Lytechinus pictus: one gene and its partner. The protein of the gene in region 1 purifies or fractionates together with the protein of each later gene. This does not show direct contact. Links are inferred from orthologs where the notes say so. Each region holds a gene or a part of one and is shown on either strand. Other genes may lie near its edges.

Evidence for each region.
Region 2: the proteins of drebrin-like protein A (region 1) and neuralized-like protein 4 purify together in Homo sapiens (co-immunoprecipitation; 4 studies listed by BioGRID and IntAct, counting the BioPlex papers as one, with this or other methods). This does not show direct contact. The link is inferred for Lytechinus pictus from reciprocal best matches to the Homo sapiens genes DBNL and NEURL4.

Annotation. Positions count from the first base shown.
Region 1 is NC_087256.1:7,119,296-7,126,396, forward strand, and holds the start of drebrin-like protein A, read left to right. Parts: upstream 1-4,084; 5' UTR 4,085-4,257; coding exon 4,258-4,340; intron 4,341-5,820; exon of another isoform or gene 5,821-6,018; intron 6,019-7,101. UniProt on the Homo sapiens protein: Adapter protein that binds F-actin and DNM1, and thereby plays a role in receptor-mediated endocytosis.
Region 2 is NC_087258.1:4,750,889-4,757,725, reverse strand, and holds the start of neuralized-like protein 4, read left to right. Parts: upstream 1-3,816; 5' UTR 3,817-3,820; coding exon 3,821-4,021; intron 4,022-6,837. UniProt on the Homo sapiens protein: Promotes CCP110 ubiquitination and proteasome-dependent degradation. By counteracting accumulation of CP110, maintains normal centriolar homeostasis and preventing formation of ectopic microtubular organizing centers.

The sequences.
Region 1 (7,101 bases):
CCAATATGCATCACCAGAGAATTGTAATACAGTCAAAATTTATGTGAAGGCAACACAATTCCCCATTGCTTAATCATTTTGTGTTAGAAGGCCAAGCTCCAATGTATTTATAATATATCAAGAATGAGAGAAGAATACAGGGCCATTCTGATCATTCTGATATCCTTCATTTCATTAAAAAAAAAGGTTTCTTTTATCTACTCTATCTATCTAAATCAGGCCCCTCCCCCCTCAACATTTTTTACGATAAATCTGTAACGCGAAAAGATCACGCCCTAAAGTTTCATGACTTTTTTCCTTCAAGTCTCGTGCAACTTTTTAACTTTCTCGATGCGGGGTTACACCGTTCTGAAGTTACTTAGAATTGTGTAAATGTATGTCAGACCCAATATTAAAAACATGAGTTCATGTACAAATCCAATGCAAATTATGGATGTAGCCAAAATTCATAAATATATCATCATTTTTGTCTCGCCTGCATAGCAGAGCGAGACTGTAGGCGCCGCTTTTCCAACGGCGGCGACGTCGTCAACATTGAAATCTTAACCAAGGTTAAGTTTTTGAAATGTCATCATAACTTAGAAAGTATATGGACCTAGTTCATAAAACTTGGACATAAGGGTAATCAAGTATTACTGAACATCCTGCGGGAGTTTCAGGTCACATGTCCAAGGTCAAAGGTCGTTTAGGGTCAATGAACTTAGACCATGTTGGGGGAATCAATGTAAAAATCTTAACCAAGGTTAAGTTTTTGAAATGTCGTCATAACTTTGAATGTATATGGACCTAGTTCATGAAACTTGGATATAAAGATGATAGTGTATCCCTGAATATCCTGTGCGATTTTCAGGTCATATGACCAAGGTCAAAGGTCATTTAGGGTCAACGAACTTTGATAATGTTGGGGGTATTTGTGGAATTGTCATCATAACTTTAAAATTTGATAGATCTAGTTCATAGAAACTTGGGACATAAGAGTAACCATGTATCCCTGAATATCTTGTGCTTGTTTCAGGTCACATGACCAAAATCAAAGGTCATTTAGGGTCAATGAACTTTGGCCATGTTGGGGGTATTGGTTGAATTGGCATCATCACTTAAAAAGTTTATAGATCTACACAGTTTATGAAACATAGATATAAGGGATATTCAAGTTGTTTTGCACATGTCTGAGGTCATATGATCATGTTCAAAGGTCATGTTGGGTAAATGGACATTGTATTTTATTATCATATGAGTGTTTTCTTTTATGAATAATTATTTGATAGCTGTTTTCAAAGTCAGCACTGCTGGTATATCAAATCGCATAATGCAGGCGAGACTGCCAGAGGCGTTCCACTTGTTATTTGTACTGATTAAAAGTAATTGATTTCATGTTATTTATGACTGAAAAAGTGTTGCCAATAGTTTCCATAAAAACAACAATGAAAACCATAAAGTAAAATAAACAGAGAAATGCATAAGAAATTAAATAAGCAATGAAATACATAAGAAAAAACTTTTTTTTTAAAGTAATCATAAGAAGAGTGTCAAGACCAAAATCTAGCAGTTTCGGGCTATATTTTAAGATTAACAGCCAGTTTATGTTTTAATGCATTAATTAGCATAATTGATTAATTCAATTGACAATTTAATTGTGGAGGTTACATCATAGATGATGTGTGTGACAATTTTTGTCACAATCGCGTGATCAATGGCCGAGATCTGAGGAGGGGGTGTTTTTGCCCCCCCCCCCCCCACTATAAGGGTTAAGTCTTCCAGTAAATAGGTGTTCTTTTTCGAGAAAGGACATGTAATACAGGCTTCACAAAATCTAGAATTTGTACTCTCATTCGAGAGAGCGAAATAGAGTTGTTTATGTTTTATGTATTTTTGAATCCTTCAAAAGGGAAAGTTGTTTGTGTAACAGCGCACATCTTGGTTGCATTATATTGCCTAATGATAATGTGACTTATAAAGCGCCAAATCCTCTCTGTAGAGTGCTCAAGGCGCATAAAGAGCTAAGTGTTAAATAAAAAAGTTTTTTAGAAGATTTTTGAAAGTTTCGACAGAGGTACATTTTTTTATGTCTTCATGAAGGCTATTCCACAAAGTGGGGCATGCAAAAGCAAATGATCTTTCCCCCCAGGTTTTTGAAACTTTTGGAATAACAAGGAAGCCAGAAGTGGATGAGTACAAAGACCTGCTTGGTCTGTAGTAATTGATTAATGAAAGACTATTTTGGTGCTGATCCAAGAATACTATGAAAAGCCTATGGGACAATCTCCATAACATTAGTGTTTTGTACATTCAAATGCTCAATAACTTACATTTCTTGTCCATTTTTTCACAAACCTTCATCAAAATCTTACAGATTTATCTTTTTTTTTACACAACCTAACTTTTTCCAAAATTTTTGTTTTCCATGAATGGTAATATTTTTGTCAATATTCCATATTATTTTTTCTGTTATTTGTGTCAAATACTTAAAGAATCATGACTGTCAAATGTATATTGTATAAAGTGACTTTCTACTCACATTCTTTTGTTAGATGAACCATGTTCCTATGGAAGAAACCACAATGTTATTTTGTAAATATAAGCTGCTGATAAAAATAATGAACAAATCCTGTATTTGTGTTGAGTAAATATTTTGTTGTGGTTGTAAAAAGCCAGAGTCCAGTCTACTCACATTTAGGTACCCGTGGCTGAAATTGACATGCATATATTGGAATAGACCATATTTCTCTTGTTCAATCATGGCACATTCTATATCTATAGGATTGTTTCCAAAAGAGTTAATTGTGTCTCATTATCCTCACTTTTTTTCGGTATATAAAGCATCATCGCATTGGTCAAATCATACCAAGGGTATGCACACTAGTGTGTATTAATCCTATGGTATCAATCAATAAGATTGCGTGTTACATATCATGTGCGTGCATGATTTTAAGTCACATTTAACACTATTTACACCGTAGAGCTAAAAGGCCTTTAATTTTTTCCTGTATCCATGAAATGCTGACTATTTTCAGGGTTAAATTCTTAAAGAAATAGATAAATTCATTCTGTATGCTTATCGTTTGTGAAGATAATCATTGTCAGATTAGGCTGAGACTTTCTCTTTCATTTGCAACTACTTGAAGACACAGAGAGAGAGAGAGAGATCAGCTATGTTAACTTAAACATTTTGACAAAAGCACAGAATGGCCAGCAGAGCAATAGGTCTGTAACATACTTATATAAGATTTGATTTATTACGACCAGAAATCAAAACACATGTTGGCCTATCAATTATTGCCATCCATCGTCTTGCTGGCCATCCTAGCCTATTCATTGATAATTCAAAATGGCTTTGAAAAAAAAGATAACAGAATAAGAAAAACAGCAGAAGCATGCCCTGGGCAATTTGAGAGAGAGAGGTTGGGGGGGGGGGGTTCTCAAAGAATTAGGTAAGAGAGGAAGAGAAAGGAATGGAGAGAGAGAGAGAGAGAACAAGGACATGGAATGCAAAAAAATTGTGGGGTACGTCTCATAATGTTACATCAACAAAACCAAAGGTATTACATTACGGTCTCCCTTGACTCTAGTTTCCCTCAAATTATGCATACATGTACTAATTGAAAAATCCTGTGGGGATGGGGCACTGAGAGAGTGAAACGTTGGAGCAGTAAGCACATGACAAAAAATGTTACTTTATTCTTTTCGCCTATGTTTTGCTAATATAGAAATTGTTAAAATACACAGAACTCTAATTCATGATGCACATCCCCTCCCCTTAGGATTTAGAGGCATATTAAATTCCAATTTCCCCCCCCCCCCCACACACACACACCCCACCCTTCTTGCAATTGTATATTTAACACATTGGCAAGAATAGTGAGCATTTTTTTTGTCCCAGGATATATTCAGTCAAATCAGGAACTTAATTGAAATAATTCTCCCTCATGGCCCCACCCTCCCTCCTTTCCCATTAAGAAATAAACCAAACACGTATCTAGTAGGCCTACATAAAAAAAAGTCCCAAGATAACAAAACTCCCCAAAAAGCAAAACATACCTGTGGACAGAGAAAGGAAACGGTTCGGGGTGGGGGGTAAATGAGCGATGAAGTAGAGAATGGGGGATAGGGAAAAGTGACTGAGGGAGGATGATGAAGAGGTTGAAGTTGATTACTCCCATTCTCCTGCTCGTGTCGACGGCGAGCGCCATCTGCGTGTAAAATATTACAGGATTGAAGGGGGATCGAGCTCGAGGAAGAAGAGAATTTAAATGCAAAATGTCGATAAGTTTTGTAAAACACCGAGATGCTTTGATGCAGGCATACAAAGATGTCTGTGACGACAAAAAACCGACAGACTGGTAAGTATCATTAAATTCAAAGGTAATGAGATATTCGTTTTCCTGTTTGAAAGAGGAACAGGTGTGTGAATTTTCCGATTGCGGAAACGACCGACCAAGACGAGCCAAGCTGGGGCGCTGGCCGTGTCTTTGAGTTAAAACAACGGGGGACTACCCGTGTGAATTAAGCGTCATGACCGGTGGTTGCCAACTTCCGGGTATGCCTGCTCGGCTACTGGTCGAAGTTTGTTGCGAATTATACAATGGCAAATCTCTCATTTTCAAATGTAATACATATGTAGTACTAGTAGCATTATTGTGAAATAAACCACCAGTCCAAACGTTGCTGTAGAGTGTTTATTTCATCAGTTTTCATGATTTTAAACTAGAATAAAGCTGCAGCTAGCCAGCCACTCAACAGTAGAGGCGCACGGCCAATATTGGAGACTGTCTCCAATGTGGGAGATTATCTCCAATATCAGAGACTCTTGTAAAGAATTTGGGTATCCAATTTCAGAGACAGTCTCCAGTTTTGGAGACCAATTTCCTTTGTTTACATTTGCTGCAAAAGGATTACCTTGGCGGCAAATAAAAATGAGATAAACAGATTCCTCATGAAAAATTAGTAATTAGGCCTACCCCTTTTCACCGTCTACTTTTAGTTTAAAAATTCACCGTCTACCTTTGTTTTGATAAGGATTTTTGTTGTCAATCACACACAAAACAAATGGGCTTCTACAATTCTGACCTCAGTGAGACAAAATTTTGGGTGGAAAAAATCATGCTTTTGTTGGTGTTGTTTCTTTTGTCCTTTTGCAAAGCAAGTCTCCAATGTGGGAGATTGTCTCCCCTATTGGAGAGAGTCTCCCATATTGGCCGTGCAACTCTACTGCTCAAACAGTCATCACTGCCGCTCACTGGTTCAGAAAAAAAAGACAGAATCACTTTTTTTTTATCAATTCATAGTCAATCAAAATGAAAGCTCGATGTCCGAGCTGAAATATTTTCCAATATTTTTTCATAATGACTTCAAAACTGGATAGTTTTAGCTCCATTTCACTGCCTATTGAGCAAGATACGTATCTCATCGAACAAAATACAAATTAAGGTGAATAAAACAAACCGTAGTAGAGAAAAAAATTAGATCGAATTTTCGCCCATAGGGCTTCATCAGGAAATGATGAATTTATTAGTCAACACAAGAAACGCAGTGCGCAAAACATCGAACACTGGGTAATGTCATGGCTTGCGAGTGCTAAGAGCGAGCAAATAGGGTATATAGTATTGTAACAAAACTGCCTATTTAGAGTCTGGTAGTAGACTACCTCTGTTATTCTTCTCTCTCTCTCTGTGTCTATCTCTCTCCTACTATCCCCATCTTCCCTATGCACAGTAGTGCAGTCTCTCTGTGTACACTACATGTGTGTATCTTTATGTAAGAGTGCCTTGTGCACTCATGTGTTTAGGGACTCCCCTACACTTACACTTGAAGGAGGGGGTTAGTTAGTTGAAGTTTGGCCCTCGATGGGTGCAGTTGTTGTGTAGCTCTCGTACTGTGAGGAGTGGTTGTAGTTTGGCTCCTGTATTTTTGGTTGTTTCGCCCTAGCTCTGAAGTCAGAAGATAATCGATTGGGAGCAGATATTTGTGTAACCACTGCTCCAGTTTAGTGTAAATAAAGGCCAAGACCAAGACTTGAAGGTAATTTCAAATTGAGTTGATTCTTATTTTATTTCTAATTAAGTTTGTCAGATGACCGAGAGCAGAGATTGTGAAAACGTGAGTAGACTGAGGAATGAGTGCACGTGAGGATGTGTTGAATCGCAATATATTTTTGTGAAAGAACCTGGTGAGCAAAGTTCAAAGGTGATTTCGGATACAGTATAGCCTTGGCCCTTGGGGACATGAAAGATTGTTCTGTTTCCAAGTCATCACTTCACCTTATTTCAGTCACTCGTCTCCCTCTTATTTTCCCTCTTTTTTCTCCTCTCCTTTCCTTTTTCTTTTTTTTTTCTTCCTTTTTTTCTATTTTTCGCACCCCCAATAGAGAGGTGGCACAGCCCCTTCACCCCCCCCCCATGCAGCAGTAGACTCTACAAGCTTTGATTCTTTATAAAAAGATAACAGTGTGAATGAAAGACTCTACAATTAGGAAGACTAGACACTTGATCAACTTAGCGTAATGCTTTACATTGATTTGTGTGTAAAATAGTTTGAGTACCTCATCTTTCCCTTGTATTGTCTTTGATATAAATATAAATTGTGCTCCCTCTATTGGTGAAAATGTTGGTCTGTGATAAATTGCAATGGCTTCACCGCTTCACTCAATGAAAAAAACGAAAAATAATCAAAAAAATTTCACACAAGGATAACGAGGTGGAAAAAGGGGTTCATATTATTTGGTAAAAGAATTAATGTAATGAAATAAATAAGGTAAAATCCTTGATTTTCACACACATGGCTAATGCAATGAACCCACAGGGCCCGGGTGGACTGCTGTTGGTGACACCTCCTATGCATCCAGTAACTTGTAAGAGACGTACGGCTAATAATGTTGGAGACTCCCGGCCAACATGGGAGACAATTTCCAATATTGGAGACTTGCTGTGCAAAAGGATAAAAGAAACAACATTAATGCCAAGGCAGTTATTCCCTACAAAACTTTTGTCTCACTGATATATATATTGAAGATAAATAAACTTGGTGACAGTCTCCCATATCGGCTGTGTGCCTGGCTTTAGTAATGTCATTACAAATTCATGGAAAGACGGCAAGTCTTCGGAA
Region 2 (6,837 bases), on another chromosome or scaffold:
CATGAACAGATAAGCACACATGGGACTGTGTATGATTACCGGTACTTTTTTGGTAATAGACAATGCTTTGCAAAATTCTCAACAATAACACAATTATTTCCGGAATCCTTTGGCACATATTTTTTTAATTATATTCATATAGCCAAACACTTGGGTTGTCATTTTATTGGATGCCTATGAACTCATTTTGAAACCGTTACCATAACTGGCATTTATCTTTAAGCTTTTCTGTATTTATGTGTACTATTGGTTGCTATGTTAAGGCAGTGTTTCCACAGATCAAAAACAAATTTCCCGAAACTGAATCTCAAATTTCCTGAAATTCATAGACATTTCCTGGAATTTTCAAATTTTATTTTTCAACCAAAATTGGACAATAAGAAAGCGAGCCTGAACTTGGTCCAAGTGACCGAAATCAAGGAATTCAACCTTTTTTGTTGAATGCACTTTTTACAAGTACGGTAGCAACAAAATGCAAGCGCGGAGAGCGAGCAGAAAATTTTGAGCTATGAATGAGGCAAACAATTCTTTGAATTATATAACATGAATATTGAAAGTTGTTACGTTTAATGGAAGTTTAATTTTCTGATTTCCAAGAATTTTTTCATTTCCCGAAAATTACCTGAAAGTGATCCAGAATTCGGGAATTTCCTTCAAAGTGGAAACACTGTGTTTAGGGTTAATTGGGTTTGATTGTCCTGAGAGTGTGTAAATTAATCATGTCAGACATCTTGAAAACTACATATAGCCTTGTTATACATGTCATTTTTAAAGTTTAACTGATTTGTCCTAGATTTCTTTTTGTAGATTTGCCAAAAACCATTAAAAATATATTGAATATGTTAGGAAACCATAGTCTTGTAATGCAAAACATGCAATCAATTTTTTTATGACATGAAATGTAATTCGTTGTAACTTTGTAAGTCTATATTAGACTGAAAGTGTTGCATTTATTCATAACACTAATTTATCTCATCTCAGAGGGTACATGAAAATACAATGAACAAATATCAGAGACTTGACACTTCATTGAAATGAAGTGAGAATTGAACAAAAATTGGGGTCCAGGGAATAATTTTGCTTTACAAATTTGAATAGCATTTTTGGTCAGAAGAGAAAAGCTCTCAACTAAGTAATGTACAGTTCTATGTAAAAATATGCTATACAAAAGACTTTATGCATAGCAGTCTTTCAAAAATGGAGCAAATTGCGATGCGATACCAGGAAATTTATTCCCTGGGGTCAGATTTACAAATGGATTGATTATTTTATGGGATTGGCCTTCAGGAAAATAATAATAATCATAGCAGGAATCCCAACTATCCAGTTGGATTGAACAGGTTTTGGACCAAAGATATTAACCATGTCATATCAGTGCCCTGATTGAAATCAGTACAATTAAAATCTACAATTGATATTAACTTGTAATCAGGGGTGTGAGAGTTCAGATTTTTATCTGATTTCAGATTTTTTTGTTTTGATTTTCAGCTTAATTTCAGCTTATTTTTGGCCTTCCTCTGTACAAAAAGTATGGGAGCTCTTTCTATTTCAGACTTTTTCAACACTCTTCAGCATTTTTCAGATCTTTTTATTTGTGACCACTCACACCCCTGCTTGTAATGTGGTTTACAAAAGACTAAAGTTATAATTAATTGCACAATTGCTTGTATCTTGAATTTTATTGGGCCCTGGAATGTGTGCATAGGATAGAGAAATTAAAGGAGAATGAAACCCTTGAAACCAGCTGAATCCACATCAAAGAGACAAATCAAAGAAACATATTGTTGAAAGTTTGAGGAAGATTGAATGAATAATAAGAAAGTTATGAGCATTTGAATATTGAGATCACTAATGCCATGTAGATCCTCCTATTGGCAATGCGACCAAGATCTGTGATGTCACACACGTACAACTCCCTCATTACTTTAGTACTTATTTCACTTATATTTTCACTTTTATGGAGTCTATCACAAGGTGAGGTGTTCTCTTTATGAGAGGACAAGTACAGAGGTTTCACAACATTATATCATTGATGAATCGTTTGTCATATGATTAGAATGAGTAAAAAGAGATGTTTTGGGGTATATTTTCAGTGTCCAAAAGGGGAGAGTTGTTCATCTGTGACATAATAGATCTTGGTCGCATTGCCAATGGGAGGATCTCCATAGCATTAGTGATCTCGACATTCAAATGCTCATAACTCTTCTATTGCTAGTCCTATTTAACTCAAACTTTTGTTGATCTTATTCTTTGATTTTTCTGCTTTCACAAAAGCTAACTTGCTCCAAGAGTTTCATTCTCCTTTAAGTTAATTTGTTACTCCAGAGTAGCCCACCGTGATTAATGTCAGAAAATACTGGAAATCATGAAAATTAAAATCTAGATAGATTAGTGACTGCTTTTTTGGAATTGGATCAATTTTGATCACCATTAACTTCAATTTTTTCCAATTGTCTATATTTTTTAAACGAGGTTAAGATTTTTTACTAACCAACTTGGAATACTGGTAATGAGATATAAGTAATATTTTCATATGGTCATAAAATGGAGAAAGCACTTGGGGGGGGGGGGGGTATTTGTATACAAATCAAGTACCGGTAATAGAGTTTTCTCGATATTGATAAAGTATGCATATACTAATCATAATGATTAAAATTGAATTTCTATAATCGTTTTTTAATATTCATCCAGTATATTACAAAATTTTATCTGTTTTGTTAATCATATTTTCTGCTTTCATGCAGATATCTTGTTCTAAGGGTTTTATTAGCCTGTTGTGTGCACAGAAGAGAATAAAAAAAAATGTATGGTCGGAGGATTTATATTAATGTTGATGTTCTCATTAAAATGAGCTATATACCTGAATCCCCCTTGTCTTATTTTGTTTTCTTTGAATAAAATTACTTCTACTACTACTTTACTATTGCTACTTGCCTATTGTCTTTACTACTACTGATCACAAAACTCTAGCCTGAAATTAATATGAACTGAATATAATTATAACGGTAAACAAGAGCAATTTGTAGATGTTTTGCAGTGTACTGTATTTTGTAAACTGAAACATGTTTTTTTTTCCAAGCTTTTTCCTCCTCGTTTCTGAAAAGTGTTCAGGTTCTTCCCGATTGTGGTATTTTAACCAAAGACGTCTGGTTAAAATACCACAATCAGGAAGAACCAAAGACGTCTTTGGTTAAAATACCACAATCGGGGGGCATGCAATACCCATGAATATAGTTTTGTTTAAGTAGATAAAACTTGTTTAGGGGTCATTATTTCTGGCGACAACTTGTTTAGGGGCCAAAATGTGTAAATGAAGCTCGCGAAACACTTGTCTAGGGGGTTATTTTGCACACTGAAAAAAACTTGTTTAGGGGGTGTTTGGAAATAATTTGGTCATGCATGTGTACAGCAATACATTTTACTTACATGTAAAATCATTGGAGAGAAAAAAAAGATCACGGGGCTTGTCCGGGAATCGAACCCGGGGCCTCTCGCACCCAAAGCGAGAATCATGCCACTAGACCAACAAGCCTCAGCTGATGAAGGGTGGAGATTTATAAATTATATAGGACATGCTTGGCCATGTTCGTTGTGATATTGGACTAGTCCATTTTTCGATAGGATTCTGAAATTATTCAATCAAAATTGTTCAATGATCAGATAATCATGCTTCAAATTCAAGTATTTCCTCAATTTTTTGAAAACTAAGAAATTCGACAACACGATAAAATTTTCAATGAAAGGTGTTTATGGACTCCCTTATTATTACATTTATTATATTCAAATGGCCGAACCCAGCCCTTACTCATGAATATTCATCATGGATATCGCCGGTGAAAACATGGCGAGCCATCGGAGAATCCATCCATTTCACAACAAATGTGGATCCTTAATTTCATTGAGTGATGACGACAAAACAGCAAGACGAAATGACTCCAGACAAGAATTCAATAACGGGCTAGTATTTAGCAAGAGACCTCTGAAAGACGATGAGATTTATGAAGTCAGAATTGATGAGAAGGTGAGTAACCAATAAAGATCTCGAGATCGCTTGGATCGAGCCTCCATTCGGAACAGTGGCAGTTTCACAGCCGGGCTCCGTACGGTACGCTACGAACTCCGCTCCGGGGACGATGGTGCATTGTCAATGATCCCGATGGCAGGGGCAGGGCCGTGACCAATTGGGCGCTATTGCACTTTCGCATCTGGCAATGTTAACAAATTAATTTCACCTAAAAACTTTTGTTCAAATTTATTCCCAAATTATCTAATCTGCTCGACCCTTAACCGGCGCGCTTTATATCCAGTTGTTGTGTCCGGACCACTCACACTAGTCTAGTCACGTATTGCGAGGTAAATATCATTTGCTATACGAACCTCGCACAACCACCGTGTTTTTGTAGTGGATTTTAGAGTTGTCGTTAACATCGCATCATAACGTGAATGATGTTAGCCGAAACCCACTCCGCTACTCACCAGGGCTTTTTCTGGTATAAAGCGTTCCATTTTCAATTTTTAACATATTTTTTTTATTTAAAAGAACACAAAAAAGAGCACAATCGCTTACCTATGCCTGGAAAGTGGCTTCGCACGTCTCTTCCACGGAAATGAAAAAGAAGGTCGTTGGTGGCGCTAATACAGTTCACAACCTTAATTCAGCTTGGTGGTTTTTTTTAAACTAGATTCATGATTCATTGTATGCGCAATTCCAATAATTGTTTGATAAAATAGAGACCCCAATAAATGCAATAACTTAAAAAACATACTTTTTTATTATTTTTGCTGACGATAATACTTTTTGGAAAATATTCAAAACGATGACAAATTTAACAAAAAATATAGAAAATTCTATGTACCTTGAACAAAGCCCCGCAAGTGCTACCGTTCGTTTGTCAATTAACGTTCCACCAAAGTCTTTACAGTAAAAAGATTGAACACTTTGCCAACTTTGCGTAACGCTTTGCATCGATTTACGTGTAAGATAATTTTTGTGTCTAGTCTTTCCCTTGTAGTGTCTTTGATATGAAGATAAATCGCGCGCCCTCTTTCGCTCATTAGACGAAAAATTTGAGAGCTAGAAAGGTGGCTTTCGTATTTTGTCAACGAGAAGAAAAATCAACGCTTAAATGACGCATTTTGAGGGATATTCATCAAATTATGAGGAATTGACTTCACATCGTTAAGTAACTTTCTACTAGGCCTAGGAGGACTTCATTCTGTAAGTCCTCGTATTCATTTTTCAGAAAATAACGTTATTTGTTGAATGCGCCGTGCCTTCAATTATTCTGTAGTCGGCGGCTGAGATGTAGCCATGGGTGTGTCCGGACAGGTTATGGATGTGTGTCCGGACGATCAATTTTAGAAAGTCATTTGCCATTTGGAAAACTTTACAAGCGAAGTTTCATCAATTTTTAGTATAAAATGTGAGGAAATATATTATGGAGAACAAAATAGAAGATGATTACAACTATTTAATTCACATTTTTACTGTAATCCAAAGACCAAAGACAAAAAAGAAGGCTTCAAAAAAAAGTGTCCGGACAGGCGGACACCCGACCCCCCATCCTACCGTATCATCGTACGCAGTTGGGCACCGCACCGACCGACTTCAAGAAAAATAATGTCCCCAGCATCATTAACCCAGGGAGCTCCGACCCGCTTTGCGGGCCGGAGCCCAGGAGTCGACCGTGCAAAACAAGGGATACATGAGACTGGGGTAGTCTTGAGGACTCCATGTCCATGATGATGTTTTAAAGGCCATTGAAACTCGATGTTGAGTTTCCCGTCCCATATTTTCCAGCTCATAATGAGGAACCGATTTCATTATTTTCCAGAAGATGAAAGTTTGACCTTTTGTAATACCTTTTAACGCACTTTTATTTCTTAATTTGGACATTTTCTGCAATACACTCAATAAATATGTAATATCTCGACATATACACTGTTTATATCTTCATTTGAGTTATGTTTGAAATGGAGTGGATTGTATTGCTGTTTCATAATTGTAGATCTAAGGTAGATCTTGGTAGTGGTAGGGGATACGTCACATATTAATACACAACACAGATTCTTTGCTTGGATGTCCCTTTAATATTCCTTCTCACTGAGAAATAAATTAGATTTTTGGCATTTTGTATTTAAAGTATTGTAAGTATAGTACAATAAATGAAATAGGAAATTTAAATCAGACAAACATGGATCTAAACATGAATAAATCCATGTATATTTTATCAATAGACAATATCGAGATTCTGCCTGCACCGTACACGTATCGTACATGTACGTACATGCGTACTATCGCTGTTGCATGCGTGATTTGTTCAAAACACGTACTGACCATGTAAATCTTCGTGCATACTTGCTGGAGCGCGGCACGGGCACATTGCTGCATGGCCATGGCTGGGTTGATTCTACGAGTTTGACTATGGTTGAGCATGCAGTGTCATTCCATTCACAAGAAAAAAAAAAGATTTACAGGTATTTACAAGATATACAAATAATTGTGTGAGTGAAAAGCTTATATAAATGTTTTATATCAGTTTTGAATCTAGATCTATGTCAAAATAGTAAAATAATGAATTATTTTCAGAATTTGATTTTCAAACGCGAGCCAAATTTAATAACGTGGGCGGGCGACGGGAAACTCAACATCGAGTTTCAGCGGCCTTGCTATTTAGACATATACTTCTTCATCATTGGAGTCTTGAACCCCCGGTCATATATGTACATGTATAAGAGACTGACCAAAACAAAGATGGATTTCCCTAGGAAATCCATCTTTTAATATAAAAATCACGTAAATTGTGTTGATTTTATTTATTTCTACACCTTCCTACG